4 linked regions of the Lytechinus pictus genome follow. The protein of the gene in region 2 purifies or fractionates together with the protein of the main gene of each other region. This does not show direct contact. Links are inferred from orthologs where the notes say so. Each region holds a gene or a part of one and is shown on either strand. Other genes may lie near its edges.

Region 1 (7,648 bases), about 27 Mb from region 2:
ACACTTTCGTTACCATCTGCTTCTGCATCACACAGTTTGACCGTGCATTCGATAGTGTTAATACTGATCTCGACTGGCTCGTAGCCAATCCGCGTCCAAGGAACATGAATGCGAAGCTCGTGAATGAAACCACTCACAAACGACAGAGGAAGGTTAAGGTCACGTTCCAAAGCATCCAAGCGTAGTTCTAGATTGTTCAGGACCAGGTCCCCACCCCATAGCGATAGCCTCAAATCCTCGGGTTTCAGATTCTTGATGTATTTGTCTACATATCCCAATAGGAATGGTGATATGTAAGATTCCAGCATGGTGATCGGCTATTTCAGTATAGTTCTAAAAGAAAAAATAAAGGATAATGATGAAATATTATCATTCAAAGATAATGTAAAAATATTATATATGAATCATGGATTCAGACTCAACTTCAACTTTTTACATATACTCTACACATTTGAATTTGGAGCTTTGGGACTTTATATGAGAAAGAGAATAGAAGTTATGTCTCTTCAAGAGTTTGTGCCATTACAAAAGGTGTATTAAAAGAAAAAAAATGATCACAAAGTCAGCTCGGGTAGCGATTCGGCTATTAAAGAAACCATGGAAAAGCTAAAAAAAGAATAACAATGACAAGAATCATTGCTTGTACATGAAAGCAAGAAATATCGTTTACTTGAATCTAAAAAGCTAGCAGAGGAGATAAATTCAATCCGAAGTCATTTTGGAAGTATGTGAAAAGTAATACGAAGTCACGCTCTGGGATACCAGGGCCCCGCCTTATAAAGAGTTGTAATTGACCCAATCAACCACAACTATGGAAAGCCAGCAACATCAAAAATGTATGTTTGTTCAAAATATTTTCTATATTCATACTTCATTGTTTTCTAGAAAAATCAGAGTGCTCCTCTTTTGTTTCAATTGGGCACTGTGCAAATTTCATGTAGAAAATATTACGACATTAATGGATTTCCATATAGTTGAGGTTGACTCGATCGATCGTAACTCTTTGAAAGATGGAGCCCAGACCTGCATGCAGCAGACGGATCATGGGTCAAGAATAAGCAAGACAAAGCTGATACCCTCAATTCTTATTTTGGGTGCATGTTCGTTGAGATCTTGGAAAATATTCCACACATACTCACGAAGCTGTCACTCTATTATAGTGAAACTTCTAGCCTGATGCAGTCTTCTATATTGAGAAATAACTAATGAGATAAAACAAGTGGAGCGCCACTGGTAGTCTCGCCTGCATTTTGCGATTCCATATAGCTGACTTTGATGAAATAATCATTCACAAAAAAAAAACATTCACATAATAATATGATAAATTCATTGACCCTAAATGACATTTGACCTTGATCAAGTGACCTACATATGTAAGACTTGTGTAAGATGAGCAATGATACATAATTACCCTTATGTCCACATTTCATTCGGAATTTCATTTCAGAACTTTTGTCATTCGGAATATCTAGAGAACCGAAAATTAGGTCTGAAAAACGGGTCATCAAGGCGACACATCCCCGTACCACCAATATATGTGTGTATACCCCCCCCCCCCCCCGGGCTAACTTCACATTCATGTAAGGGTATACGCACATATTTGTACAATCTCTGGCTCTGTGGAGAGTAAACTTGTAGTGAATGATTTTTACTCTCTAAGAGACCCCTTGGCTAGGTCTATCCACTTGTTCACTGCAACCACCCTTCCTGTGGGGAATGTAGATCTATGCAGTATACAACACACATAAAAAAATCATTAAAATATTACTTTTGTAACCAAAAATACCCATTTCCATTCAGTTGCAATTTATTTTTCAATAGTAACTTGGGGATCATTTTTTTTTCACCAGAGCGCTCAAAACTTGAATTTTTGGCATATTTATGTAGGCCCTCTATTGGAGGAAAGTAAAATTTCAAGAAAATTGTAATTTTACGATCTCTATCTTCAATTTAGAAAAAATAATTACCGGTAAAGAATTCAATTTACTTCAGAGCCAATTTATATGAATAGTTGTAATGGAAACTGACAGTGTCAAAAAATCCAGCATTTGTCCCCAGAACAAGAGAAAATAAGCCAAACATTGGCAACCTTATTTCACCTAACAGGGCCAGGGAGTAGACGGAGAACATTATATCATAACCTTGTTCATTGAATGAGTGGGTCTATCCAACTTTTCCTTCCTAAATCTCTTATAAAAAACATTTTTTTAAATTGAAAATGGAATGCTTTTCACCAGAAAATGAAGCCCTGGACCGGGTGAGTAGCGGAATTAGTTTTGGCTATAAACAGTAACAATTATTCGCGTTCTGAAGCGATGTTAACTGACAACTCTAAAATCCATTGCGTAAACACGTTCATAGACATAGTGCGCGGTGAGTATAGCATACTAACCTCGCAATACGTGTGAGTGGGTCTAGTCTAACTAACAAAGTTAGAGTAGACTAGATCTATTCAGAATAAAATTTTTAAATGAAGGCCTGAAATTTGTGAAAAAAATGTGCCAACTTTTCTTTTTCTACTCTTTTGTAGTATTCTTAGCAAATCCACTGTAGACCTACCGGTAATGTAAAAAAACCCGGTGATAATGCAAATAAAATCAAATGAAACTAGACAAAACTGTGGACATACCCTAAAATACACTTTTGGTACTTGAATGTAGGGAACGCTAGCGCTGTCTCCGCAGTTCGTGTCGTCGGACTGCTGCCACTGTCGCCGGCAGTCCCACCCGCAGGAAGCCGGTGATGATGCTGAGCCCGAGTGAGTTCAGTCTTGATCTTCGAAATGACGAAATGAAGGTCGACAATTGAAATTACTTGAATTGCTCATTTGCATAGTTGGTGGAGCGGCTTTGCTGATTGTAGATATCAAAAGCTAAGAAGACAATTGGAGCTTGTTTCAGCATTCCGATCCGATTGGGATTCCATTTCTGATCAGCAATTACAGGTCGTCGAACGGGTTGTTTACTTCTGGTTCTTGACACGTGTACAGTTTGTTTACGTGTGGTTATATGGTGTAGAAAATAGGCATACGCTGACCGTAAAACACCAAACTGCTGGATTTCACATCTAATTCCAGGCGCGACAACTTGAAGTCATCATGACAGCACCCCCGTCATCATCAAAAGCAAGAAAATAGAAGGGTAACAAGAAAGTTGAGAAATATTTGTCTGCAATTGGTCGGGGATAAGGATAAGGGGCTAAATGTCAAAGATAAGTAACTTGGACTATATGACAATATTTAGGAAACTAAATCTAGGGCAGCTATAATTTCAATTGAATTACATTTCGATTAGTAATGGTATATATTCCCCTATTCACATTCCTGTAAAAGTATAGGCTATATATACCGTAGTGGCTAGATCAGGCTGACATTTGGCATGCTTCGATGACATTTTAAAGAATATTACATTTAAAATGGAGACTGCCAGGAGTAAGACTATAGCATTACGTCTACAACCCATTGAAACCAAGAATTGCATGGAAAATTTGTTTAAAAACTATCCTAAAAAAATGATATGACTTCCAAAGGCCGCTTGTCTTGTTTAAAATGCGAAAAGCGAAAGACTGGTAAAGGATATCCATATTGAGAATATATATACCAAAAAGTAATAAATTATTGTTTCAAAGGTAGGGCTTCTAAATAAGGACTGCGTTGGGCCATAAATCATAAAGACATTAACTTCCGTAACGCATTAACTTCCGTAACATTTTTTTCTTGAATATGCTACAAATTTGTGCTTTACTGAATCACTCCGGATCAATTAAACCATGTAAGGTACCCTCCACCTAGGTACCCATGAAAATCTTAGCTTTTCATCCATGTCAAATTATTATTACACAACTTATTTTCAACATCACTTTGAACAGAGGGAAAATTACCAACGAAAAAAATCTCCCGATAATTATATACGATATTTAATGCTTTTAGAGTTTTGAATAATTCATACTACAAATGTTAAGGATAAGCATCTTATTTAGAACTTAAAATTTCTAATTTCCTTTGCTATATAAGTTCTTTCAGTTATTGTTACGGAAGTTAATACACTTCTCTGCTGTACTTTGCTGAGCTTGATAGTACGATTCTGGTTCCAGAACAGGCGTCAAGTCGGCAAAAACGATGGAGAGAAAGGGGAAGGAGGAGAAACAAGAAAGCTTTCATGGCCAAAGAAAGAGAAATAAAACGCCGCTCACATAACACTGGTCTGCATGCTTTCCAAGAAAGAACTAAAAGTCAAGAGAAGGGAGAAGGGCCGATTTTGAAGAGAATAAAGAATTGGCATTAAAAGCGTAAAAAGGAGTAGATCGAAACTAAACCCATCTCAAACAAATGAAGAAGATAAATGAATTGTGACAAAGCCTAGTATAGTCGCCACTACAACCTGATAATTTAAACATGGAGTAGTGTGTGTGTACAGCGCTTTGTAACCTAAAGGAATAGGTGCTATATCAAAATAATATCCAATGGATTGGAAAGGAAAATTAAATGACTGTGACGTAACGGAATTAAATGCGAGCTGAAACTCGCAATATACTGACCTGAAAACATTAAAAATACCCCTTTTCGGACTATTTGCGCAATGACTCATGAGGAGGATTAACGATCTCACCAATCTATAATGCGAGCGCGAAGCGCGAGCTAAAACGTTTCTATACTCTAACCTGAAAACTTGAGATTCTAAGCATTTTTTTGTGGTAAAAATGATCAGGATGTTTCTGAATAAACTGTTATTGCGAGTGCAAAGTGCGAGCTGATTTTATTTTGGTATTCTGACTGAAAGCTTAACATTCTAAACACTCTTTGTACCAATTATAAGGATGGGTATCTTAATTGATGTGACTGATTTTTTTATATTTTGATCTGAAAAAATAATTTATAAACGTTTTAATTTGAGAACAAGATATATGTCCAATAAACGAATTATTGCAAATGTGAAACGCACGCTTTTGGAGGTTTATACCCCAAAACGGAACATTCTATTAACTTTTTGTGATCATAAAAAAGGATGGATGTCTTGCCAAGGAAATGATCCGAGCGCGAAGCGCGAGCTGAAAATATGTGTCATTCCAATATGAAAACCAGACATTTTAAGCACGCTTTAAATAAAGACGATATAATTAATTTAAATAAAAAAATAAATTCATGCAATTAAATACAAAAGAACAAGTTGGTATTATGTAAACCATCAATAAGCTCTTTTAATATTCATGAAGATATGCATGGAACTGTTTCACTAAAATAAGGCAAATCTTTAAAATAACATAATTTCGTTATTCCTTGTCCGATTTTGATCATATTTGTATTATTTCGTTTGTCTGATAATTATCTGTTCAGATCAATTTTTTAGCCTGGATGACCCCTTTAATGCGCATGAAAAGCGCTGAATGACATGAAAACATGGAAAGGGGTATTTCAAACGCTCACGGTTGTTGGAATTAGGAATGAAATACGTATTTCGCTGATCAGACATTTTGGCTATTCATCATTTTTTTTAATCACGAACAGGATGCGTAATTGCGTATCTCGATCTAAAAAATAATGGAAAAAATCGTGATTAGATCATATAGAATCTAGTAATAATTTGTGTATATCAACTTATACAAGGCTGAATTCTAAGCCTCTTGTTTCATTCGCCTTCCCTTTTTAATTATTCATTTCCCCATGTCCTTTTTTTCTCTCCTTTTTTCTCTATCTTTTTGGCTATTGGCAAGCGGCGGGGTTCCTCGTAACCCAGAGAACCAGTGGCGTAACTACGGGGGGGGGGGGGGCATGGGGGGGGGGGCACGTGGCCCCCAATCGGCTGGCCAAAAAAAAAAACGGGGAAGAGGAGAAAAAGAGGGAGAAAGAAAATGAAACGTAGTGGGAATGAAGAAATTATTGTTCATTATAATGTTATATTATAATTATGTTATGTTATAATATATAAGAAACATTATTTCATAAGTTTATTTTGCTCAGGCCTAGATGTCTTCATTGTTCCCGGTACTCGCATTGTCCGTTTAACGTTTTTAAGTCAATATACACCAAATATATTTCCTCGCACTTCGACTTATTATTGTTTTATGTAGTGACATATGGTTCTTTTTCATGACTACTTAAAGTGATTGCCCCATTTTTAGGTGTTAATATAAAACATTTCCTGTCCGTGCTTACGTTCGCACTAGTAGATTGGTGAGATATGTCTGCTCTTCATGAATTCCTAAAAATCCGTCCTTAAAATGTCCCTTTTTCTGATCTGAATATCAAAAATTTTCAGCTCGCGCTTCGCGCTCGCATCATTTGGTTAGTGAAATACGTATCGTATGGTCTTAGTGAATTCTTACAAACAGGCCTTAAAATGCCTCTCTTCAGGTCTGAATATCCTAAATTTTCAGCTCGCGCTTCGCGCTCGCAATATTTGATGAGTGAGATGCGTAGTATCATGATTACAATGACTACAAAAAGTGCTTCATGTGTTTAGATGTAGCAAAATCAGCAAGCGCTTTGCACTCGCATTAGATGACTATGGTGAGATATGTATACTCTTAATGGATTCCTAAAATATAGTCCTTAACATGTCCTTGTTTAGGGTCAATATTTACAAAAATTTCAGCTCGCGCTTCGCGCTCGCATTGTTTGTTTAGCGAGACAGGTATGTATCATGATTAAAAAAAATTACTTATAATGTCCTTTTTTGGTCTGCATATCAAAAATTTTCAGCTCGCGCTTCGCGCTCGCATTATTTGAGCAGTGACATACATATCCGTTTAATGGCACTGCCTTTAAAATGTCCCTATTAGGTCAGTTTACCTGGCAACTGAGCGCGCTTCGCGCGCTCACTAAGTGACTCAAATATTTTGCTGGTGCCCCCCCCCCCAATGCCGTGACTCACGGTACGCCACTACAGAGAACTCATCCTGGTTATCGGCCTGCGATTGTTATATTTTGTTGAGGGCCAGAAACTTTTAAGATGAACTACAAGTCTGTGGCCCGGTTATTCGGTTTTCTTATTCCAACTATCATGATTATGAACAACAACGACAACAAAAATTACAGTTGTGCGACTTGTCCGTTTCCTGTTCTATCAACATTTTTTTTGGGGGGTAGCAAAATTAAGCTATGCATTCCACAGTTAACTTTATTTATTAAAAACTGTTATACGAATACCTAAATATGGATTTTTCTTAGCTAACAAAATAAATATTGCAATTTGTAACTTGATTTAACTTCCGTAACGAAGATTGACAAGGGTATATGCCACTCGAGGATTTGATGGTAAAGTATCTTTGGATTCCCAGAATTGGTCATGCATTACTAAGGATCTTGCTTAGGATTACTATGGGCCAGAAAGTTTTAAGATGAACTACAATTCTGTGGACCGGTTATTCGGTTTTCCCATTCCAACTATGAACAACGACAGCAAAAATTACAGTTGTCCGACTTGTTCGTTTCCTGTTTTGTTTTTAACCCTTTTTTGGGGGGGGGGGGCAAAATTAAGCAATGCGTTTTACATTTATCTTTAATTATTAAAAAAATTATACGAATACCTAAATATTGATGTTCCTAAGCTAACAAAATATGTATTGCAATTTTTTAAACTTGATTTAACTTCCCTAACGAATATTGACAAGGGTAAATGCCACTCGAGGATTTGATGGTAAAGTATCTTGG
Region 2 (7,642 bases):
TTTATTTAGCCTATTGTTTTTAATCTTGTCACATGGACAACCATGCTGCATCTTACTTTGGCCTCTTTGTCTGTTTACCGTTCTGGAATTTGCCTGAAGACAAGAAAGTATAAGAAATTGTTATTCAGGTGCTATTAAGACTAGGATTGAGCTTTAATCCAGCTGTTTACCCATGTTTGTTATTACCATGACGACTACAGTAGCTTGACCTTGTTGATGTTATAAATAGATAATGTAGCCAGAAATAGATCAATTTTGATTTGGCTGGGACAGCTGAATCCTACATGTAGACTGTAGGATAGTCGCTAAAATTGTGACTTTCCGTGGGGCAGCAAATGCGACCACGGTTCTTGGACATGATAATATGTAAAATATTATGTGGGAATACATGCAACATGTTGCCATCACTGAATTCTGCTCCTGAACTCAAAATTAAAATAATAATATGCGAATTCGTACCACTGATTCGACTGGAAATCCCGCCATTCACCCTGTGTGTTAAGGACTTCCGCGAACGTGCGCAAGCGTGTACAATGCATGTAACCTCATTCGCGGTTATTTATTTTCTATTCGCTGTATAATATAGAAGCTACGATGGCAGATAAGATGTCGTTGTCTTTGTCGTGTTTTGACAGCGAAAATGACGTTATACCACCAGCAAATATGCTACATGCACGTCTTACCCAAGGAGAGAGGGCCAGTAAATTTCTTTCAAGTAAATAAGAGCTGGAACAAATTTAAGCCTTCACTGCATTCGCTGGTGTAGACTACCTGGGACTTCGGAATAAAAATAGCTATTCGTGCAGCAGAGAAGTTTGCAATTGACTTGCAGCCCGGCCCGACCAGCATTGCAGAAAGATCCGAATGGATCAAACTTATGTTATAGATTTTTATTCCTAAGTCCCAGGTAGTCTACACCAGCGAATGCAGCAAAGGCTTAAATTTGTTCCAGCTCTTATTTACTTGAAAGAAATTTACTGGCCCTCTCTCCTTGGATAAGACGTGCATGTAGCATTTATTTGCTGGTGGTAAAACGTCATTTTTGCTGTCAAAACACGATGAAGACGACGACATCTTATCTGCCATCGTAGATTCTATATTATACAGCGAATAAAAAATAAATAACCGTGAATGAGGTTACATGCATTGTACACGCTTGCGCACGTTCGCGGAAGTCCTTAACACACAGGGTGAATGGCGGGATTTCCAGTCGAATCAGTGGTACGAATTCGCATATTATTATTTTAATTTTGAGTTCAGGAGCAGAATTCAGTGATGGCAACATATTGCATGTATTCACACATAATATTTTACATATTATCATGTCCAAGAACCGTGGTTGCATTTGCTGCCCCACGGAAATTAAAAACTAGAGACATTTTCCTTGCCCATTCCACAGTCTAATGCAATACTGTTGTCCATCTCGTTTCTGTACTACAGAAAGAGAAAATTTGAACATGTACATGTACGATGTATGAGGTAATCATAGGGTTAACTGATTCCCTGCATTGCAAATAGAGTCCAGGGGCCCGTAACACAAAACTTAGCAGTGATCGTAGAACATTTTTCTACGATTGATTCCATTGACTACAATGTGCGATCAATCGTAAAGATCAAGCGTATGATCAATCGCTATAAACCTTTGTGTTACCGGAGCCAGGGGAGCGTTTCATCAATATTTTCGATCCGACAAGTTGTCAGATCTGACAACTTTCCTTGAATTTGATTGGCTGAGAAGCACGGTTACTATGGTAACTGTTGGATAAAATAGGACTTGTCAGTCCGATAAGTCCTTTCATATAATGCTCCCCTGGGCCCCGTCTTACAAAGAGTTGCGATTGATCCAATTAACCACAACTGTGGATGGCCAGCAACATCAACATCTAAAATGCAAATTTGTTCAGAATATTTTCTTGATATAATGATGTATATTCATACACTCATTGTTCTCTTGAAGATTCAATGTGATTCTCTTTGTTTACTAAGGAGATTATGCAAACTTCCTGTAGAAACAATTATAAAAAAACAAGAATACAAACAAATGAACAAAATACTGTTTCAATTATTTTTTTTCCTGTCTCTCAATTTCCCATCCTAATTTACATGTGTATTTATGTTCCGAAAAATTGAAAAGGCTTGTTTTTAATGGAAAATATGTTTTTGTTTTCAGTTCCCAAACTAACTGCAAATGTGTCAAGAAAGGATGGCCTCCATCCATAAATATCTTTCTTTTGTATATTGTGCTATCTTTCTTTGTGTTTCCTTTGCTTTCTTGATAAAAGAGAAGGTAATGTTTTTCACTAATTTTTCCCTTGTTTTCAACTCGTAAAATAACTAAAATGCCACCAACAAGTGTGGCTTTGAGATATTATTATTATTATTTTTTTTTTTTTTGGGGGGGGGGTGAACATTGTGTACAGATTTCAGCAATCAGAATATATATGCGGAATTTATACCTTTCTTGATTTTTCTTCACAAATCCATTATGATCAAGAAACAATCTTTAATAATAGAAAGAATTTAAGAAATTATTCATTGTGTGTCAGCAAACTAAGTACATGTACATGCTTGAGTTATCATGTGCCATGACACAAGCACCAAAGGCCCGGGGGGGGGGGGGAATTGACAAAAAACATTTTTAGACCTTAAAACCATTCTACTATGAGATGTAATTTATCTCACCAGAAATTGTATTTTGATTGTTGTTGTGAATAACCCCTGGTCCGTGAAACATCCAAACCTGTATTCTCTCTGATTTATTTATCTGTATTCTGATTTTCTGAACTAGCCTGCATTTTATAGTACCCAAATTGTCTACTGGTCAGTAAACGTTCAGTGATACAAAGGAATAGTCATATACACTGTCTGACTCTGGCACTCTGCCATTATATGCTTGTACAATCCCTTTCACAGTCAAACAATACAACTTTTTAATATTGGTCAACTATACAACTCTCTGACATTTTTACTAGACCTGCTGGATTTTTTTTGGAAAATTCTGCATTAACTTGTGTGGATATCAATTATCATCACAATGAAAGTAATGAAAACCACATGAAAATATCCATGGTCATTAATGAGGAAAATATTAATTTTAGTGCATAGCAAGAGATTCAAGTAGTAGTCGTATTTGAATATGATGACGCTCTTTAATCTCTCCAGATTATACGTTCTAGTCGCTTTCGTAATTGAAGTCTATATGCTGCATTTTTGCCTTTAGATGGCGCTTTTATTAATTGTTGACCTAATCCTGCACACTGAATGCCATCTGATGGCAAAATAGCAAATGATTTGAACTGACTTTAAGGACGTTCCACAGTTATATTTGTGCGCATTATGATCTGCGCATAGTTTACACTCTGCGCGCTGACGTCACAATGGATGAACAGGTATTAATTAGCTGCGGGTATGAGCTGATTTTTCTCATCTTCTGCACTTTAACTGCAGATCCGATGCGTTATTTTATGAAGCTAAAAAATTGAATTATTCCATGGACCATTCAAAAAAATATTCTCTACAATTTCAAAATACTTTACTCTGCAGTGCTGCCAAGAATCACGAATATTAGCCCGAGTTTGAATAAATGGTAGAGTGGTTTTGATTTTTTCTTCACATAGATACTAAGCATTCGGCCCATTTTTGGTGTTTTAAAAAGCACATTTGCTCTAATAAAAATGCTGATAGTTTAAAAACAAGCACATGAACCCCTATTTTTTAATGTTTGTACCTCTTAGGTATACCTTCCTCTACAACTCTGCAAATTTTGGTGAAAATGACATGGATTTTGAATAAAGTGCAGCAATTATTGTACGTTTGTAGTTTGTTACTGAAATTTTACATTTTTCAGATTGGGATTTTGTTATCTTTTACGCCATTTTTAAGAACTGACAGTGCTGTTAAACTTAAAATTGCAAACAAATAGCACTATTAATAGATTCTCCATTCTAACGATACAATTATTAACTCTCTTGCGAAATTTGATGACTTTTTCATGTATTTTGAATGAGTAATGGAGGTTTAAACTCATTGTAGTAATCTTGGGCGGTCTAAAAATGCCAAATTCTTTTGAATGCGCAATTCTTAAGAACATCAATTTGGGTGAACTTTGAAGCTCTATAGCAAAAAATCAAGCACATGGACCTATGTTAATTTTTGCATATTTCGAATATTAAGGTTCTAAAGTATCTATGTGCAAAGTTTGGTGAAAATGACATGGATTTCACTTTAACTGTGGAACGTCCTTAAATAGACACTAGCAATTCAATTGCATTCTTTTCCTCATTTTATTAGCACAATTTTTAGACAAAAAAAAAAAATGTTTGTTTTCATTATTCTCAAATCAGTTTTTATGTAAATGTTGAAGATCTGTGTGATGTGTATCACCATGAAGCTCCATCGTGTATCATAGCTTAACTTCACTGTGCGGAGGAGCTTCTCAGTGACGTGTACAAGTATGTAGTTTGCTACTTTTCTGAGTATATGAATGTGTGTTATGTGTGCAGAGATATTACATGGATTGTTCATAAACGAACACCAAGGTACAGCCCTACTTTTTATCTAGCATCGCTAGTCTTGTCCACAGGCTTCACTACAATGCATTTCCTTTCAGAAACAATGATATATTTCAGATTTTTTTTTTCATTTGGCAGGGACATCTAAGAGAAGCAAAATGTCAGCTTGCCCTAGGATCAGTTGAGGCAGCAATAAGAGCTCTCCAGAGGGTAACTGATATAGAACCTACCAACAAACAAGCTTTGTCAGAGGTGAATGAGTCGGACTTAATAACATTTTTTTTGGCCAAATTATTGTCACAAATATGAGTCCTTAAAAAACTTATAAAACATACACAAAAAATTGAGGAAAAGTGAAAATTTAACCCATTCTCTGCCTATTTCAGTTCTTAAAAATTACAGAAAAAAGAAAATCTCTAAAACCATGAAAATGGCATTTAGACTAGACCCATTCTGGAAAAAGAGGCCTATATAAACTTTAAGAAGCATTTTGGGGTAAAAGTTGGAAACCGGACTATTTCACACAATTCAAATATGCTGAATCTGATTAGATCGGTTCCCAAGCTAATTTCTCATGTTTTGACCACCTAATTTGCATAAACAAAATGGCTGCCAAATTGACAATTCAGAATATTATTTCGACAATGTTCTTTAATTATATTCGCTTTCACAGACATGAATACTGCAAAATCCTGCATACATACGTGTACCTTTCGGGAAAACTTGTTATTTTTGTTTGCTGCTAATTAATTATGCAAATTTATGCATATTTTGGATCATTATGCTATAATTTGATAATTTCAGCTCAAATGTTTATGTTTTTGGTACAAATAGCATTTACATCATTATAAATAATTGTACGGCCCTTAGAATATAATATCACAGTGATTAATAATGTATTTTATTGTTTTTGAATTTCTTTGTATTTTGTACCTTTTGTTTTGTACATGTTTTGTTATGGGATCTGTCAAATTATTGATTATCAATGGCAGAAAATAATTAGCTTCAATGATTTAATTATGTAGTCACTTTTTTATTCGCATATATCCATGGACATAAACAGATGCACCCACTCCCACACCCACATCTGCATACAAAGGAAAACTCCTGCACGGAGGGCCTTCCCATTTAAAAGCACACTGGTGGAAATCCAACGAATTTCATGAACCTATCTGTATTCAAGCGAATGTCACTATTAATTGCTTATATTTTTATTATAAAATGGTATCTTGAATTATGATATCAATCAATTCATTCATATTTACAATTTTAGATGATGAATTATTAAATTTGAATCATAACAGTACTGTAATTCTCAACTCCTAATAGTCAATCAGTTGCATTTAATATCCTTTGGAGTAGTTATGTTCCCGACCAGCAGAATCTGATCACACATACATGTATATATATTTAGTGTGTTTTTCTTCAGCAAAATGAAGTGAAAACCGTCTGCTGAAAATGAGATGTCCTGTGTTTTACTCCATTACGCTCGTCAAATTGTCCCAATATTGAACAAAAATTATCAGAACTTAACCCACATATAATCCATCTAATTTCTCATTTTGCCTATCAATTAGACCGTTTTCCGTGTTTTAAAAGCCAGACTGTGATGTTCTAAAGTTCCACAACGAATAGGTCACTGCATATCCTTTTAATAAAATGTTTTAATCATTGGACTTCATTAACGGATTACATGTGCATCTCCATAATATATCTTTTCCAATGCAGTACTGCACCTGTCCTATCAATGATTGCCGCTTTATCCAACTTACAGGCATCCAGCTTCCCCCAGCTTGATATACACCTTTACCTTCGGGGTGTTGAATTATCAATGTCAGTTATCATCGATTTGGTGTTCCATTGGATGGCTTGATTGATAGGGCAGCCTCATATTATAAAAGTCATCTCTAATTGTTGAAATCAAACCAATTTAGTACAAGTATTTTGCGGAGGCAGTTCGTATCGAAGTCATCGTGTTTGTGTTCTTGAGATATGTCCGATTCTCATGTCACAGATCCATAGAGAAAACCTAAACTTTTGTCTTAAGAGAGAATCTGCTGTCTAACCAGATCTTGTTTCAGGTGTTAAAATGCACGGAGTGCACCTTTTCAATACCGCAGTGAATTGTGTAATGTCTTCTAGGCCATTTATCGAACTTCTAATATTCACACATCTTCATATCTTCATAAGATAGACTATTTCAAATTGATAACAAAGATATCTTTCAGAGGATGGTGGGTTCCTGGCATGTTTGGCGTTCCTGTAGGTGATTATTAATCCACTTATTTTGATCGGTATTAAACCCAACAGCATCCAATGGCTTACCCAGCTCTGATAGGCTGCATGCGAGTCTGAGATATCACCATCAAAGTCTAGGTCGAGACATTTTTCGATTGTAGAGCCAGGATTTCTCTTTCTATGAGGAAAGCAGTTGCCTAAGTTATGTTTGACTTGTCAACCGGTTTTGATACCAGTGAACATGTCATTCTTCTTAGGAGACTGACAGTCTGTTTTGGAATTGATGATTCTGCACTCCAATGGCAGGTTTCCTCTTACCTTGCCAACAGAGCTGTATGAAGCTGTATTCATCACTGGCATGCAGTCTCCTGTGATTACCCTTTGATATGGAGTTCCTTGGGAGTCTGTCCTTGTACCTTGTTCTTCAAACTGTACATCACTCCTCTGGCTCTGTAATGTGGCAACATGGTCTTGGTATACACTTCTATGCTGATGACATCCAGCTGTATACCTCACTTTTGATCCAAAAGGTAAATATGGAGAGGTTCGTGCAGCTGCTGTTGTTGGTGCTGCCATTGAGGATTCGATGTTGGATGAAGGTCAACTTTCATTTCATTTCATTTATTGGTTTTTGCAACATTTTTCATAACAAAATTCTGGACAAGAAAAATACATATCTGAAACTTGACATCAAGATAATGAACAATTGTTTTGTATATAAATCCTCAAACATAGCTTACATAAATGAAAATCATTAAGTGGTATTTTCTGTTACACAATAAATAGGATGGTTGCAAGGGTCGTCACAAAAGCAAAGCTTGAAAACGTAACAACCCTGGAATATGGCCAAAATAATTAATATCTATTGTCATTAAACGTGCAGGAGCTTAACA
Region 3 (7,342 bases), on a different chromosome or scaffold from region 2:
CTCTGTAACAGAGGTATAATTTGAAGCATTGTAAGTTAAGATCCATTAATGGTCATTACATACCAAATTACCCTTTCTGCCTTAGAATATTTGCACAAGTTCAATTGATTATACTAGAAGAAAAACATTTTGCATGTCAAATTCTTTGCAAGTAAAAGCACTTTAAATTAGAGTTTAAACAAGGAAAAATATACAAAATTATTGACATTATATTTAAAATCATACTAATCCTCAAGGTTCCACTTCCGTCTGTCTCTGGAAACATTTATGTTTCTGTCTAAAGGGGAAAAAACGAAACAGTGCTATCTTACGATCTCCAAATCTTTTATTACTTTGAAATATCTCCTTCAAGATATTACTTTCAAATGTAGATACCTCTGTTACACGGACATCATGTCCTTGTAATGGTCATATTGAATAGCATTACTTGAATATTTTGACATATTTTTCTAGTATCAACACACTAAATGCAAGTTAACTCATCTTACTCAAGTGTAGAAATACAACATCTACAAGCAAGCTTCTGTAATTCATATCAATGAACAGGTAAAATGTTTTTTTATTCATACACAATTATAAAATTTTTTGATACCTTTGATACAATATTCAGGTGAAAAATATGTAGGGAAAAGGTACTAGTTTAGTTCTTCTAAGCTATGGTTTTTCAAGACAAAACAAGACAAAGTTCGCATGGAAGACATGGACAACGCATTTATACCTTACACATATAAACTTGTTCAATTTGTTAACTCTAATTTGTTTTACCTCAGTTACATGGACATCATGTCCTCAAAATGGTAGTGTAGAAGTGACATTAATTAAAATATAATCATGTCATCACTGGAACTTACATACATTAGATAAAACATTAAGTTCCAACATGTGAAAAGGACAATTGTAAAGTACTTAGTGGACAAATTTAATTTAAGAAACTCACCACCTTTATATCTTCTGTTTTTTTAACAGAGTTGTAAGCGAGAAAGTAAAATGTACTAAGCTATTCTAATGATCAAAAATAAAACTGCAAGAACTCTTTGGTAAACTTCTTACTGGCAAATGCAAAAAAATGTATTACACTGTACACTAAACCTGACTATTAAAATTAACATGCAATATTTCTCTCTGCATTCAGGTTACAAGTTTATGAACTTCAAGAAGACTGGTGACCCAATAAGAAATTTCAGTTTGGAAGAGGATTCTGTCAATGTCACAAAGTGGATGGAGGTAGAATTGTGCCTCGCCATCAGGCCAGGAGTACAGGTCACCAGATTGACACTTCATGTACTGAAGATATACATTTTCACCTTGAACAGAGGCTACCTGTAGTTGAGAAAAATAGTATTTGGAAGTTTGACTATATTTTTTAAGCAATAAGCAAATATTTTTTATATCATATCAAATCATTTACTTATTTATGTCTTGACATTTTCTCATTAAAGGGGGTGGATTACTAGGGACAATGAATCTGATCTGTTCTTGCAAAATACACAGGAACCTTCACTTTGTATTTTTTCATAGCAAATAGAATTCATCATTTCATAGTTCATAAATTAAATATAAAGTTACGTTTTATAGAAGGTTTTTGTATTTGTGTTGTTGTGTTCTACTTTGTTTTCACAATACAATTACTTGCCCATTACCTTTTCATAAATTATCTGTACTTCAATTTCATTTCTCAATGGATTAATTTAATCTAATTTTATTCTGCATTCTAATCAAGGGTGGTTATCTAGACAATTCCATTTAGTTTTTTATGACCATCCTATTTAATTTTCATTGCTGAAGTTTAATTGTTCAAGCAATTACATAATATATGTATGTTTTATTGGAATTAAATAAATTAATGGAATTCAAATCTGCAATTTACCTTCTGATACAGCAAATAAACTCTTGTGAAACAAACTTGATTGTGTCACATTTTCTTTTGTTCACTTGTACATGTTTTAAAAATCTCATTATATTGCAATAAAAAAAAATCACATTGAAAACAATCACACAGGCTTTTGCTTTCTGATAAAACGAATCCCCCCCCCCCCTCTCCTTACAATTGAATATATAGAAATCAAAATACAAAATATTGAAAAAATATTGAGAGAAAAAAAGAATGTGCTGAAAAGTATAACATTCAACAAGATGAAAAGTTTTGGGAAGGTTAGGCCTACAGCCAAGAATTACTAGTAATTGGATTATGGCCATGCTTCATCATACACAAAGCACATGCACTATGTGTAGGGGGTAGTAACAGAAACATTATTTTGCCCCCCCCCCTTCTTTCGGATTGGGATCAGCTGACAAGCAAAAAAAAAAAAAAAAAAATGGGCGGGGGGGGGGGGGCCTGCCTCCCCCGTGGCGCTGCCACTGGTTCTAAACTCTCATTTTTTGGGGGAAATTCAAATTTGATCATCAGGTCTTTGATACCCATATTACGTAGAATCAGTAGGAGCCAATTTCAACAAGGCGAGATTTTGTACCAAATCTGAGATGTCAGCATGATCATCGGTGATAGAGCAGTTTTGAGTATCCATTGGCCTATTGAAATAACATATTTCGGTGTTCAAAAAAATCAACTAAATTGCGATTGAATCATGTCAGCTAACATTCAAAACATGTTTGCACGGAATCACAGTAATAAAAACATTATTTCTTTGGGGCCGTTTAGCAAATCTGGAACAAACACGGCGATGTCTCAATCACATATTTCACTTACACGAAAAGATACATGTGGGACTGTAGTAAAAGATTATGGAAAATTAGCGAGATTTTTCAAACTTAAAAACACTTTCTGCACGATAATATAGTTTCACATTTTTAAGATAAGGTTTAACTGATTTAAAAATACGAGTATCGGGATAAATCTCCGTACTTACGTCGCTTTGAAAGGGAAAACATCGTGGAGATCCAATCCACCGTTACACGGACATTGCGGGAAGATTCCCAATTGCAATGCTGCAAAACACCCGATATCATAGCCGTTCATGTGCACGTGGATTTCGGCTAACATCCCGTCCGTCTGATACATACAACGACGGTCTCTTCTCCGGTCTCTCCTTTTTACATACGCGATGAAATGTGATCCACCGTTACAAATTTGACCCGGACATCGCCCAAAACATCGGCGACCCTCGATTAATTAACATGACATTAACATTGGTTTTCAAAGCTAATCTTTTGATGAAAAGTTGCTTACTGCCTGCCCTTTATTTCTGACACATAACTTTGGAAAGAATGATTTCTGACTTTTAGTTATTTACCACTTTACCGCCGTTACAGAAAAAAATAAAGGCGGACATCGCATGTAACGGTGGTATGCGATGTTGTAGGAATTAATAATGATATGAAGCCTCTTTTCATTTGCTATCCCATTACTGTTTTGTTATTAAACAAATGTTGCTTTATCAATCATGGCCATTTGAATTTGACTTAGTTTATCTTTTAATTAGATATCTTCAACTGAAAATGACCATTTTGGATGTCACACTTGGTACCCCAAAAAAGAGTCTGGACATCATCATTTAAAGTCTCATCATCAAAAATACTTGAGGTTCAACATTTTTATTTCTGCATCAAGTAATTGCTTACATAACTGCCTTCCAACAAAACCACATTGCAACATCCAAACGCCAAACACATTCTCAGGATAAAGCCAACAATTCATAGGGAACACAAAAAAGTGCTGTTGCCCCAACCCCGTGGAATGACCCATATGACTAAGTTATGTCTATGAGATGAAAGTATCCACAAATCCTTTCAAATATGTGAAAAACTTTTCTCCTGAAATTGCTGCATTTTTAAGTAAGAATGTCATGAATTACGCACTTTCGGAACGGTGACACAATGATGGGTAAATTTTGAGTCACCGATTCGAAACGTCCAATACATTTACTACACAGACATATCGCGCATGCGCACACACACGCACCGATCGTACACAAAAGTGCATTGACTCAGCTGCGTTGTTGAGACCTTGGGTTGAGATATACGTTGAGACGCCACCCCCTCTTATTTTGATAACAATTGTCACCCCCACTTTCAAAATGAAATGATCGTGAGCATTTTTTTATAATCTATATTTTGATAGCAAATATTGGTAACTTGAGCGGGCAGCTATGGAAACATTGATTGCTTAGTGTGGGCGTCTTAAATCTTCGCCCGAGAAAAATGGCAGCTAAAATTTGCACCGTATGGACCAAGTTTGCAAGTTGTATTTATTTATTTCACATCTTTATACAGGGTAACTAATTCAGCTATACACGATAAAAACATTGACAGTCTGATTTTGACTGCGCTAAACTCCTTTTTCTTTTGCTGGATCTTTTAACCAAATGTTGCAGCATTTCAGGGAATTACTGAGGATTAATATCAGATGCCACAAGACACTTTTCAACATTGCAAATGATTTCTAGAACCATTTTGGTCAGGCAGTGACAGGTGAGTGGCGCAACAGTAAAAAAATTGCACATGGCAACTCACTGCGCATGGACGTTAGGCTTACTCTCCATGAAGCCTGGGATGGGATGCCATAGGCCCACACACACCGAGTATTTGGAGACAACAATGTTGCTCCAAAATACTTGATTTCTTTAACTTACTAATTACAAACTTATGTAAAAATGTAACCTTTTTACACGAAAAATAATATAACAATTAAGAAAAATCATGTAAGAAGATGAGCAGATACTCACAGATGTTATTGTCGCCATCTTGCCGTCTTTGTTATCGTAGCCTAGCTAAAAGAGAGGGCGACAATATCATGAGCAGTGCCAATTTAAATAAAAAAAAGATACTTCCATTGGCCGATAAATATCATGAATCGTAAAATACTTGCATTGGCCAATAAATATGATATTTATTGCCGATGCAAGTATTTTACGATTCAAGATATGATGATATTTATCGGCCGATGCAAGTATTTTTTAAAAATTTAAATGAAAAAAAAAGGACAAAAAACAGTGACCTACTTCGGCTGTCGCGCAACTCCCACTTCCCTAGTTTATCTGAACTTAATACATAAACATATGTCCATTGAGTCCCTGTACAGATCGAGTTAGAACTTCGGTCTGTGTAATTGGTGAGTGGAGCCAACGGAGTTCAGCGGAACAACCAATATAACAGAGACCGAAGCTTTTGGTCTAGATCTACTTAGACCGTACTAATGTTATATCTCAAACTGACTCGAGGATGAGGGGTTCGATCGAGTCCCGCTCATCATGCGGAAAGAGTACATCTATCCAACGACGACGAAAGTTCAATGTCCATGCCAACCTATATAAGAATCATTATTAAACATCAAATCCCCCACTTAAAGGGGAATAATGCATTGAGTCTATGGGGTAGAGTTCCCTTTCACTGTGAGCAGGATGGATGGCTAGCCATCTTGTATTTTTTGTATGACACGAGGATAAACCAACAAAGTTTTTTTTAAATGTCAGTACTGCAATTTTCCAAACAGACTAATTTAGCTGTCTACACTTCACTTGAATGAAGACATTGCTACTGATAGTGTTAGCAAGTTCAATAACACCAAACATGTCATGAACTGCCTGATTTAGTTGGCTACAGTGCTGGCATTGTTGCTCAACCTGACTCATTGAGGTCAAGAGTCCGGAGACGGCAAGAAATCTTTATTGAAGCTAAAATATTGTAGTTTCTGATGATAGATGTACAGACATTCAGGTGAAAGATTGTTTAGGAAGGTTGGGTTGGGCAAAATTTGGGTAAGAAACTTTAAATTCAATTGCTAGAGAAACCACCTACATTTGGGCAGGTTACGATTGTCTTTGTTCAAATTTCATGAAGTTCTTCTTCCTCAGGGTGGACCTGTGTCTTTCACACTTGAAGATTAATACAGGCGAATACAGGTTCTCTTTTGTCTAAATAAATATAATGTTTTAGTGTCATGTACATGTAGGTGTCACTATTTATGTAAAATTGAATACTCAATTTGGCAAATATATAAAATATTAGAATCTGTTGAGGTAATCATGGCTTCACTTCATAACCTACTTACCTAGCCTTTAACCTTTTTGAGACAAAATTAGATCTTTAGAAATTATTCATCGGCATATTTTCCTTTTATCAAACAGTATTCATGATCTTGCATTCAAGCCTGATGGAACCCAACTTATTGTTGCTGCTGGTAATAGAGTACTGGTAAGCCATGATATTATTATGTCTGTATTCCAACTCAGGAAGCCATTACCTGTGTGTGGAATGTCTTATTCCCGCAAGTGAAATATTATATTTCATTTCTTTGATGTATGCATTCAAAGAGCTCATCAACTGCTGCTACAGCAAAACCTTGCATTAAGTGTGAGTGCTGTATGTTTTCTGGTCAGTTAAATTTCGACACTTGAGATGAAAGATGCAAATTAAATAATTTTTCCTTCAATAATTCATAAATTCTTTAGATTTAAGTTGGAAAATATTATGAGAAAAAAATTTATTCACAATGCTCTATGATATTTGATGCATACTAGAATTTGAGAAATCCAACTGCAAATTAAAAGTTGTATATATCTCAAGTTCTTATCTAATCCCCAATCTTATTAGATTGTAACTCAAGTCAGTTGATCTTGTTTGCTTCTCTTCCTTTTTATTATTTATCTCTTGTTTTTCCTTCTTCATCTTCCTGTCTTGTTATTTTTCTTCAATTTCTTGTTATTCCTCTGTATTTCTCTTCCCTGTAAACCATTTTAAATAAAGATATGAATTCATAGTATTGGAAGAGATTTTGAAGTTGTTTGATAGTATATCATCATAATGGCCTTTGAAGATAAATTGCCTTTAAGCAGGGTTGGGCTCAATTACATTCAAAATACATTCCTAATTACATTACAGAGATGATCCAGCTACTTACCAGCTTCTAATTAACATTATATTAACCTGTTAAAGTCAGCCCAATGAAAAATTATTGTCAAGTTGATTATAATCTGGTCATTAGCTGGCTTAAGCAGGTTATTGTAATGCTAATTAGAAGATGGTTAGTAGCTAGATCATCTCTGGAATGTAATTAGGAATGTATTTGGAATGTAATTGGGCCCAACCCTGCCTTAAGTAGATATTCACATTGTTTGTTTTTATCTTCATAATCAAATAGTCAACTTGATGTGTTTGAAACTTGCGAGAAATTTGAAAAATCACATTTAAACTTTTTTATTTCTTTTCTTCCTAAGTTCCTTTACTGGAACATTAGTGGGAGCAGAACTCAACAATTCATACCAAATGCTTGTATTTTTATTTCAAGATAATTAGCTCGATCAAGTACGATTATTTTTTCATCGTGCATTTGTTTATTTCAGTCTAAGATCTACTCTGTTTTAAGTTGAATTTACTTACACATGGT
Region 4 (7,449 bases), on a different chromosome or scaffold from region 2:
CAACAGTTTCGTGAATATTATAGAAGGGTATTTAATATAACACAGTTTTTCAGGATCTACTAAAATTGCCCATATAGGGAATAGACAAACTGTAGCGTTAAAAGAGTTTATAAGGCAAGAAGGTCACTTTCTCTGAAGATTTGTTTCTTCATTGAAGTGTTAGGATCTGTCGTTTTAACCAAGGCGATAACACGGCCATCACTTGTCCATGCCGCGTTTACATTTTTGTGTTGGCTTGTCTTCTTGAGGAGTTTGAGGGTTGTCAGTGTCAAATCTTCTTGAATAGAAATTCCACTCCCTTTCAATGTCTTTTTCGCTTTCATAAATTGCGTCTTCTGTTTGTAGGAACACAATTTATCGATGATGGGTTTAGCCTTGGTTGGATCTTTTTGACCTACTCGATGGGATCGATCGATGTGGTGTTTTTTCAACTTGAACCCAAGCTGATCCTTGGCAATGTCAATTGCTATTTGATCGGTATCTTCACCTATTTTCTCTTTCACACCAAAAATTATAATGCTGTTTCTCCTTGTATACTGCTCGAGAATATTCAATTGGCGCTCCACGTCTTCTCTTTTCTCGATTTCATTCTGTAGCTGTTTCTCCAGAATATATGTTTCTTTTTCTTTACTCTCCAAAGAATTTTGAAGTTGAATGTTGGCTGATTCATTTTCTTCTATGTGGCGACGCATGTTTTCACATTGAACATTCACTACTTTATCCATTGTTTCTTTACAGACAGTCTCCATTGTTTTCATTAATTCTTTTGTTTTGAGTAATTTAGTGAGAATTGTTTGAAGGTGATAATCATCATTAGGTGAATGTTCAGACATATCAATCGTTACAGTGTCATCAGCTATATCACATTCAGAATCATTTGGATTGGTATGTTTCACCTTTTTCTTGCTTTTAGGGGTGCACTTCACTCTGGCGCCATCCCCCTTACCCGCCATGATCGGACACCGAAGCGAACGTAAACCTTAGTCGGGAGCAATATACACACGGATATATGTGACGATCAAAAGTACATATGGGACTGAGAGAATATATATAATACGTTCAAACGCTGAGCGTTCGGCAATGCAGATTTGCTGTTTCTCCCTCTAGATCAGTCCAATTACGAAAATTTTGTGGCAATTACATCACGAAAACATAGGTGTTTACAATCACAATTAAGTCAAGTCATAAAAAATAGAAAAGAAATCAGTATCTTCTTGCAAATCTTGGTTTGGATGATAATAAAAATATTGACTGCCCTCCTTTCGGGGAACATCAAATATATTGCCCTTAAAAGACCCATATTGCCCTCGTCTAAAGACTTGGGCCAATATGATTCTTTTGCTGGCAATATATTTGATGTTCCCCTCAAGACCAGTCAATATTATATAATTATTGACTGAAAGATTTTGTGAAATAAGAAGAAATTCATGTTAAATCTGAACTCAAATTGTTAGGTGCGCAGACTTGGGGCCCACCCACCCACGGCTACATCTCAGCCGCCGACTACAGAATAATTGAAGGCACGGCGCATTCAACAAATAACATTAATTTACGAAAAATTAATACGAGGACTTACAGAATGAAGTCCTCAGGACTACGAAACTTACGAAACGATGTGAAGTCAATTCCTCATAATTTGATGAATATCCCTCAAAATGCGTCATTTAAGCGTTGATTTTTCTTCTCGTTGACAAAATACGAGAGCTACCTTTTTAGCTCTCAAATTTTTTGTCTAATGAGCGAAAGAGGGCACGCGATTTATCTTCATATCAAAGACACTACAATTAAAAGACTAGACACAGAAATTATCTTACACGTAAATCGATGCAAAGCGTTACGCGAAGTCGGCAAAGTGTTCAATCTTTTTACTGTAAAGACTTTGGTTGAACGTTAAATGACAAACGAACGGTAGCACTTGCGGGGCTTTGTTCAAGGTACATAGAATTTTCTATATTTTTTGTTTAATTTGTCATCGTTTTGAATATTTTCCAAAAAGTATTATCGTCAGCAAAAATACTTTCCAGGCGGAGATAAGCGATTTTGCTCTTTTTTGTGTCCTTTTTAAATTAAAAAAATATGTTAAAAATTGATAATGGAACGCTTTCTACCAGAAAAAGCCATGGTGAGTAGCGGAATGGGTTTCGGCTAACATCATTCACGTTATGAAGCGATGGTAACGACAACTCTAAAATCCACTACAAAAACACGTTGGTTGTGCGAGGTTCGTATAGCATACTAACCTCGCAATAGTGTGAGTGGGGCCCACCATCATACTAAATTACTATTGAGACCTCAATCTACCCCAGTCCCGTGGCTCCCTCGTTTTGCACGGTCGACTCCTGGGCTCCGGCACGCAAAGCGAGTCGGAGCTCCCTGGGTTACCCATGAAATAGCCTTGCACTATCCCTATAAAGAATTCAAAATAACCAAACTACCTTCTGAGAGATGATCAATAGCCTCGCTCTGCATCATTGTGTTTAGAGAGTCCAACAAACGAGTCTTTTCATCATCAATTGATCTGGCCGTCTCCCTCATTTTCTCAACACGAACTTCCAAAGCATCCAAAGTCTTTAACAGATATTCATTGGCCTGCTTGCCTCCTCCACCATCATGATCATCTGTAAAATTATTTGGAGAGGGAGGTATCATCTCATTTTGGGCCTTCTTCTCTTCAACCTCACGTCCACTGCCAGCGATACAGGCCATCGCGTTCCGCCCGATCCACCCCGATAAGGCGATAGCAGCCGCGGCTCAGAAACTATCAAACTCAGACGGGCTACGCTGGATTATCTGTCTGTACGCATGGAAAAGATCCTCCAATTACTACCAGAAAAGGATTCACAAATTTTATGACGAGAATTCCGCTGATTTCCTTATTAATAGTAGATGTCTTATGATTTTCGTCTCGAAACCGATTGAAGTCTGAAGTCCCTAATTTAGCCAGGTCCAGCAGTAGGCCGACTTCTCTTTCTTGCGTAATTGTTGGTGTTGTTGTTGTTGAATATGATGGCGCTCTTCAATCTTGATCTTTCCAGATTATATGCGCCAGTCGCATTAATTTGGTAAGTAGGACGTCGTCGTCAAAGAAAAATCAATGCGACGCATCTCGCATTGACTTTGTAGGTCCTACAAAATTACAATCCAATATAATATTCCAAAATACATAATTGTAAATAACGCGTGTAAGAAATGAGAAATGATTGCCCGTGAGCAAGGAATGTATTCGACATTGCTCTTCTATCATGTAATCAAATAAATGGAAATGCTATACGCATGATAATCATTATTAAACATAAGCGTATCTCTTTTTCATATTTTGAACAAAATAAAATATACGTTCAATAGTTTCAAAAACTTTGCACACCTCACAGAGGCCTGGTGAATATGGTTAATTTGAAACACATAATAGTTTAATTTGTACTTACTAACTCTAATATGATGAAGGAGAATTTCCTCTTTCCGAGAAAAACCTTGCCTGCTAAAAAACATTATCATATAGCGGCATTTTCAGAAGCATTCCAATCTGCTTGCTAGATACCTTTATAATAATTTATGTCAAGCGTAAGCATGTAATATCATTTATAGCGCTTGGTAAAACAATGTTTACAAAGAAGTTTTCGTAGCTCCTCTCTTGGTAAAGGCGGTCTTATCAACGGTCTCGTTGCGGTTAACATATATCACACTGCCGGAATCCACTCAAAATTTAAATAAAATTTCATTAAAGGAAAAGTCCACCCCAACAAAAAGTTGATTTGAATCAAAAGAGAAAAATCCAACAATCGATTTCATCAAAATCGGATATAGGAAAGTTATGACATTTTAAAGTTTCGCTTAATTTCACAAATTAGTTATAATTATGCACATCCTGGTCGGTATGCATATGAGGAGACTGATAACGTCATCCACTCACTATTTCTATCGTATTTTATTATATGAAATATTCTAATGTTCTCCTCATTGTCAAGTAAAACAACAATTCCTTCCTAAACATGTCACTTAGCATTGTATTAATTGTTCATGCAGTCAACTTAGTCTTTAAGGCTGTAAAAAATACTTCGAGATATTGCATATTTCAAACAATAAAAAAAACAAAAGAATTAAGTATTGTGAGTGAGGGACATCATTGACTGTCTGATTAGCATGTCACTGAGTTGTGCATATTACTGATTTGTGAAAAATAAGTGAACTTTAAAATATCATATAACTTTTTTATATTTTACATCCTATTTTGATGAAATTTTCAGCATTATGCTCAATGAATTTGATATTTCTTTATTTATTCGTATCAAAATTTTCTGTCGTTGACTTGAAATTTAACAATAGTACGGTGAAATAGGAATAGTCAAATTGAGTGCTAACAAGGAATCTCAAAAAAATGATCAATGAATATGAATGGCCACGAGTTCCGCTCTCAAGACTTACATTTCCTGAAATACATTATTTTATATTGAGGGACATAAAATGCTGCTCTTGTTTTAAATATTTCCTGTTGGGATCCATCTGTATATGTAAAATAACCATTCCATACCATTCCAATTCTTTCTAGAACAAAAGATTTCATCTTAGCCGTTAGCATATCCTTTTTTCTTTAGTACGATGAGCATAAAAGACGCAGGAGGGCGGGATAAACGCCATTCCGGGATTTTTGTTAATAAATATTGTCTTGATTTTCTATACAAGTACCTCATCTCTACAGGCTCGAAGTTTAAAAGGTCCTCCCCTTCATCCATTGGTGTCTGTTCGTATGATCAATGCTGATTTCTCTACTTGGATTGCATGAAGTGTTAAACAACAAATAATATCTAAACTTATCATTAAAGGGATGGTCCAGGCTGGAGATATTTATATCTCAATAAATAGAGTAAAATTCACAAAGCAAAATGCTGAAAATTTGATCAAAATTGGATAACAAATAACAAAGTTATTGAATTTAAAAGATTTGCATGATTCCGGTGAAACAGTTTTCGGAATGTTTTTTTAATATTCGTTAGGTGGGCTGATGATTTCATATCCCCACTTGTTCTTTTGTATTTTATTATATGAAATTAGGTTTATTCAAAATTTTTCTACCAAGAACTAAAACAATTGGATTGACAACTGATTAAATGCATTAGTTATTTATTGCCGCAACTTATTTCATCATAATGGAGACACATCATTTACACATGTATGAAAAAATGAAACATTTATGATTTCATGCAATAACATAAGAAAAAGAAAAGTGGGGATGTGACATCATCAGCCCACCTTATGAATATTCATGACGATGTGCATATAACTGTTTTCACAAAATATTGATAAAAATCAAAATTCAATAACTTCGCTATTTGCTATCCGATTTTGATAAAATTTTCAGCATTTTGCTCTGTGAATTTTACTCTATTTATTTATATATAAATATTTTAAGCCCGGACCATCCCTTTAAACAGTGGGTTTTCTCCGAAGATACAATGGTAATTCACCTGTCAAAACTCGTAGAGACTCAAATGATACATTGTATATTGTGCCTGCATGTAATTAATGATTTTCAAAGCTCTCTCTTGTATAGAGTCAAGCTTATAGTCTTAAGACATTTGAGAGATGTACAGGCAGAATCATACAGAATAGAATAAGTCCTTTGCATATCATCATCATCAAAATTTCATACTTATTCCCCAGGTCGTACCCGAAACACAACGTAATAAGTGCAATCTTTTCTTACATTTTATCAATAATCACAGCCGCGCATTAATATAGATATTATGTTCTAACCAAACACAAAAAAAATTTAAACTGCTCACAATGAGGCAAAACATGTCCGTTTATTTTCAAAGCAATATCTTTCTTTTGTTACTTGGTAAAACTAAAGCTACACTGACTTGATATGGGAATTATTTAATTTCCATCTCTAGCACCAAAAGAAGAAGAATAAAAAGATTTTTTTTTAGATCAGTGCGTGAAAGGCTTCTATCGTACTGCAGATTTTATTTATATTTAACAAAATGTCATAATAAATAAATAATTTTGAACGCATCTGTCTAATAGACATGGATCAATGATGCATTGTATATTTTTTTAAAATGACATGAAATTCGCAGCCAATGGCAGAATTCGTGAATTTGTACAGAGTAAAGTACAGAGTAAAAACGAAGTACAAACAGGTAATAAAATTTAGGCATTGATATTAATCCCTGGGATAGGCCATATACAAAGAGGGTAAATTAAAGAGAGTGAATCGAAAGTTTTAGAGGGAACATATCGAAATTATGAACAAATTAATGATCTCTGAATCAAACAATAATTCGGATCGGATACGTCACTGATTTGTCAGTAAAAAGTTGCGTATATTTTTTTATTGATTTAAGACAAAGATGTCTTTCCCCATCTTTACATTTTGCATTTTGCTTTTTTACTTTAGTGTATTAATTTTCAAATACAGTGATATCTTTAAGATATCACTGTATTTGAAAATTAATACACTAAAGTAAAAAAGCAAAATGTATAGTGTTTTACCACAGTCGTCAATTCAATGAGATGCTGGGTAGAAGCATAATGATATTTAGAGTAGACGTCCGAAAATCCAAAACAGAAATTGATGTTCTACAGTAAAATGGGTGACGCCACCAGGCGCGGATCCAAGATTTCGTGGGGAGGGGGGCCCAAATTTGACCTGATTTTTGGCGCCCATGTGTACTTTTCGAAAAATGGCGCCCCCTCCCTCCCGTCCAGGCTAACTTAAATGTAACTTAAAAGCCTTAAATGTATTTTGAATTATCTTATTATATAATCACATTAAAAAAAAGGCAATTAAAGACCACTTTTTTAATGTGTTCTTGAAAAAATTCCATGAATATATAATGTAATATCAATGGGAGCGATTTTTTTGGGTATCAATTTGGTTTAACTTCTCACCAGAGAAGGCCCTATACTAGAATATTGTGTGACTGGAACGGGAGCTGTAGTTTCTTTACTAGTTGTTTAGAATAGCCTTCAATAATATAAATGATAACCTCTTGGGAATAATGCAATCTCGAAGCAATCGACTCAATCTCCTCATCAGTGGCGAAGCTGTGATTTATTCAGCAGGGTTGCACGGGGGGGGGGGGGGGGGGCTTGTTGAACTTTTGTAGAGGGCACCAAGATAAAAAAATAAAAATAACATGGGGGGGGGGTAGAAGTTAAAGAAATTCCGAAATTTTATTCTTAAAAACACATTGAGGTATCTCACAAGGCCTAAATAAATAATGATAACGCGAAGCGCGATATATTTGACATAATATTTGGAAAATAACATTATATTTCACCATAATCCCAATCCTTTTCTCTCTTTTTTTTCTTGGTCGTGATTTTTATTTTTTTATTTTTTTTATTTATTATTTTTTTTTTGGGGGGGGGGGGCAAAACGCCCATGTCCTAACAGTCATTTCTTAGCTTTACTTTATAAACAACATTAATGTGCAATAATCTCAT

Evidence for each region.
Region 1: the proteins of dnaJ homolog subfamily C member 7-like (region 2) and intermembrane lipid transfer protein VPS13B-like purify together in Homo sapiens (co-immunoprecipitation; 3 studies listed by BioGRID and IntAct, counting the BioPlex papers as one, with this or other methods). This does not show direct contact. The link is inferred for Lytechinus pictus from reciprocal best matches to the Homo sapiens genes DNAJC7 and VPS13B.
Region 3: the proteins of dnaJ homolog subfamily C member 7-like (region 2) and intraflagellar transport protein 122 homolog purify together in Homo sapiens (co-immunoprecipitation; 3 studies listed by BioGRID and IntAct, counting the BioPlex papers as one, with this or other methods). This does not show direct contact. The link is inferred for Lytechinus pictus from reciprocal best matches to the Homo sapiens genes DNAJC7 and IFT122.
Region 4: the proteins of dnaJ homolog subfamily C member 7-like (region 2) and BAG family molecular chaperone regulator 2-like purify together in Homo sapiens (affinity purification with mass spectrometry; 7 studies listed by BioGRID and IntAct, with this or other methods). This does not show direct contact. The link is inferred for Lytechinus pictus from reciprocal best matches to the Homo sapiens genes DNAJC7 and BAG2.

Annotation. Positions count from the first base shown.
Region 1 is NC_087245.1:38,392,821-38,400,468, forward strand, and holds the start of intermembrane lipid transfer protein VPS13B-like, read right to left. Parts: upstream 3,001-7,648; 5' UTR 2,630-3,000; intron 334-2,629; 5' UTR 309-333; coding exon 1-308. UniProt on the Homo sapiens protein: Mediates the transfer of lipids between membranes at organelle contact sites. Binds phosphatidylinositol 3-phosphate. Functions as a tethering factor in the slow endocytic recycling pathway, to assist traffic between early and recycling endosomes.
Region 2 is NC_087245.1:11,878,109-11,885,750, reverse strand, and holds the start of dnaJ homolog subfamily C member 7-like, read left to right. Parts: upstream 1-4,632; 5' UTR 4,633-4,763; intron 4,764-7,642. UniProt on the Homo sapiens protein: Acts as a co-chaperone regulating the molecular chaperones HSP70 and HSP90 in folding of steroid receptors, such as the glucocorticoid receptor and the progesterone receptor.
Region 3 is NC_087247.1:78,869,346-78,876,687, reverse strand, and holds the start of intraflagellar transport protein 122 homolog, read left to right. Parts: upstream 1-4,330; 5' UTR 4,331-4,428; intron 4,429-6,083; 5' UTR 6,084-6,150; intron 6,151-7,342. UniProt on the Homo sapiens protein: As a component of the IFT complex A (IFT-A), a complex required for retrograde ciliary transport and entry into cilia of G protein-coupled receptors (GPCRs), it is required in ciliogenesis and ciliary protein trafficking.
Region 4 is NC_087261.1:44,259-51,707, reverse strand, and holds the start of BAG family molecular chaperone regulator 2-like, read right to left. Parts: upstream 3,006-7,449; 5' UTR 2,707-3,005; coding exon 2,436-2,706; intron 1-2,435. UniProt on the Homo sapiens protein: Co-chaperone for HSP70 and HSC70 chaperone proteins. Acts as a nucleotide-exchange factor (NEF) promoting the release of ADP from the HSP70 and HSC70 proteins thereby triggering client/substrate protein release.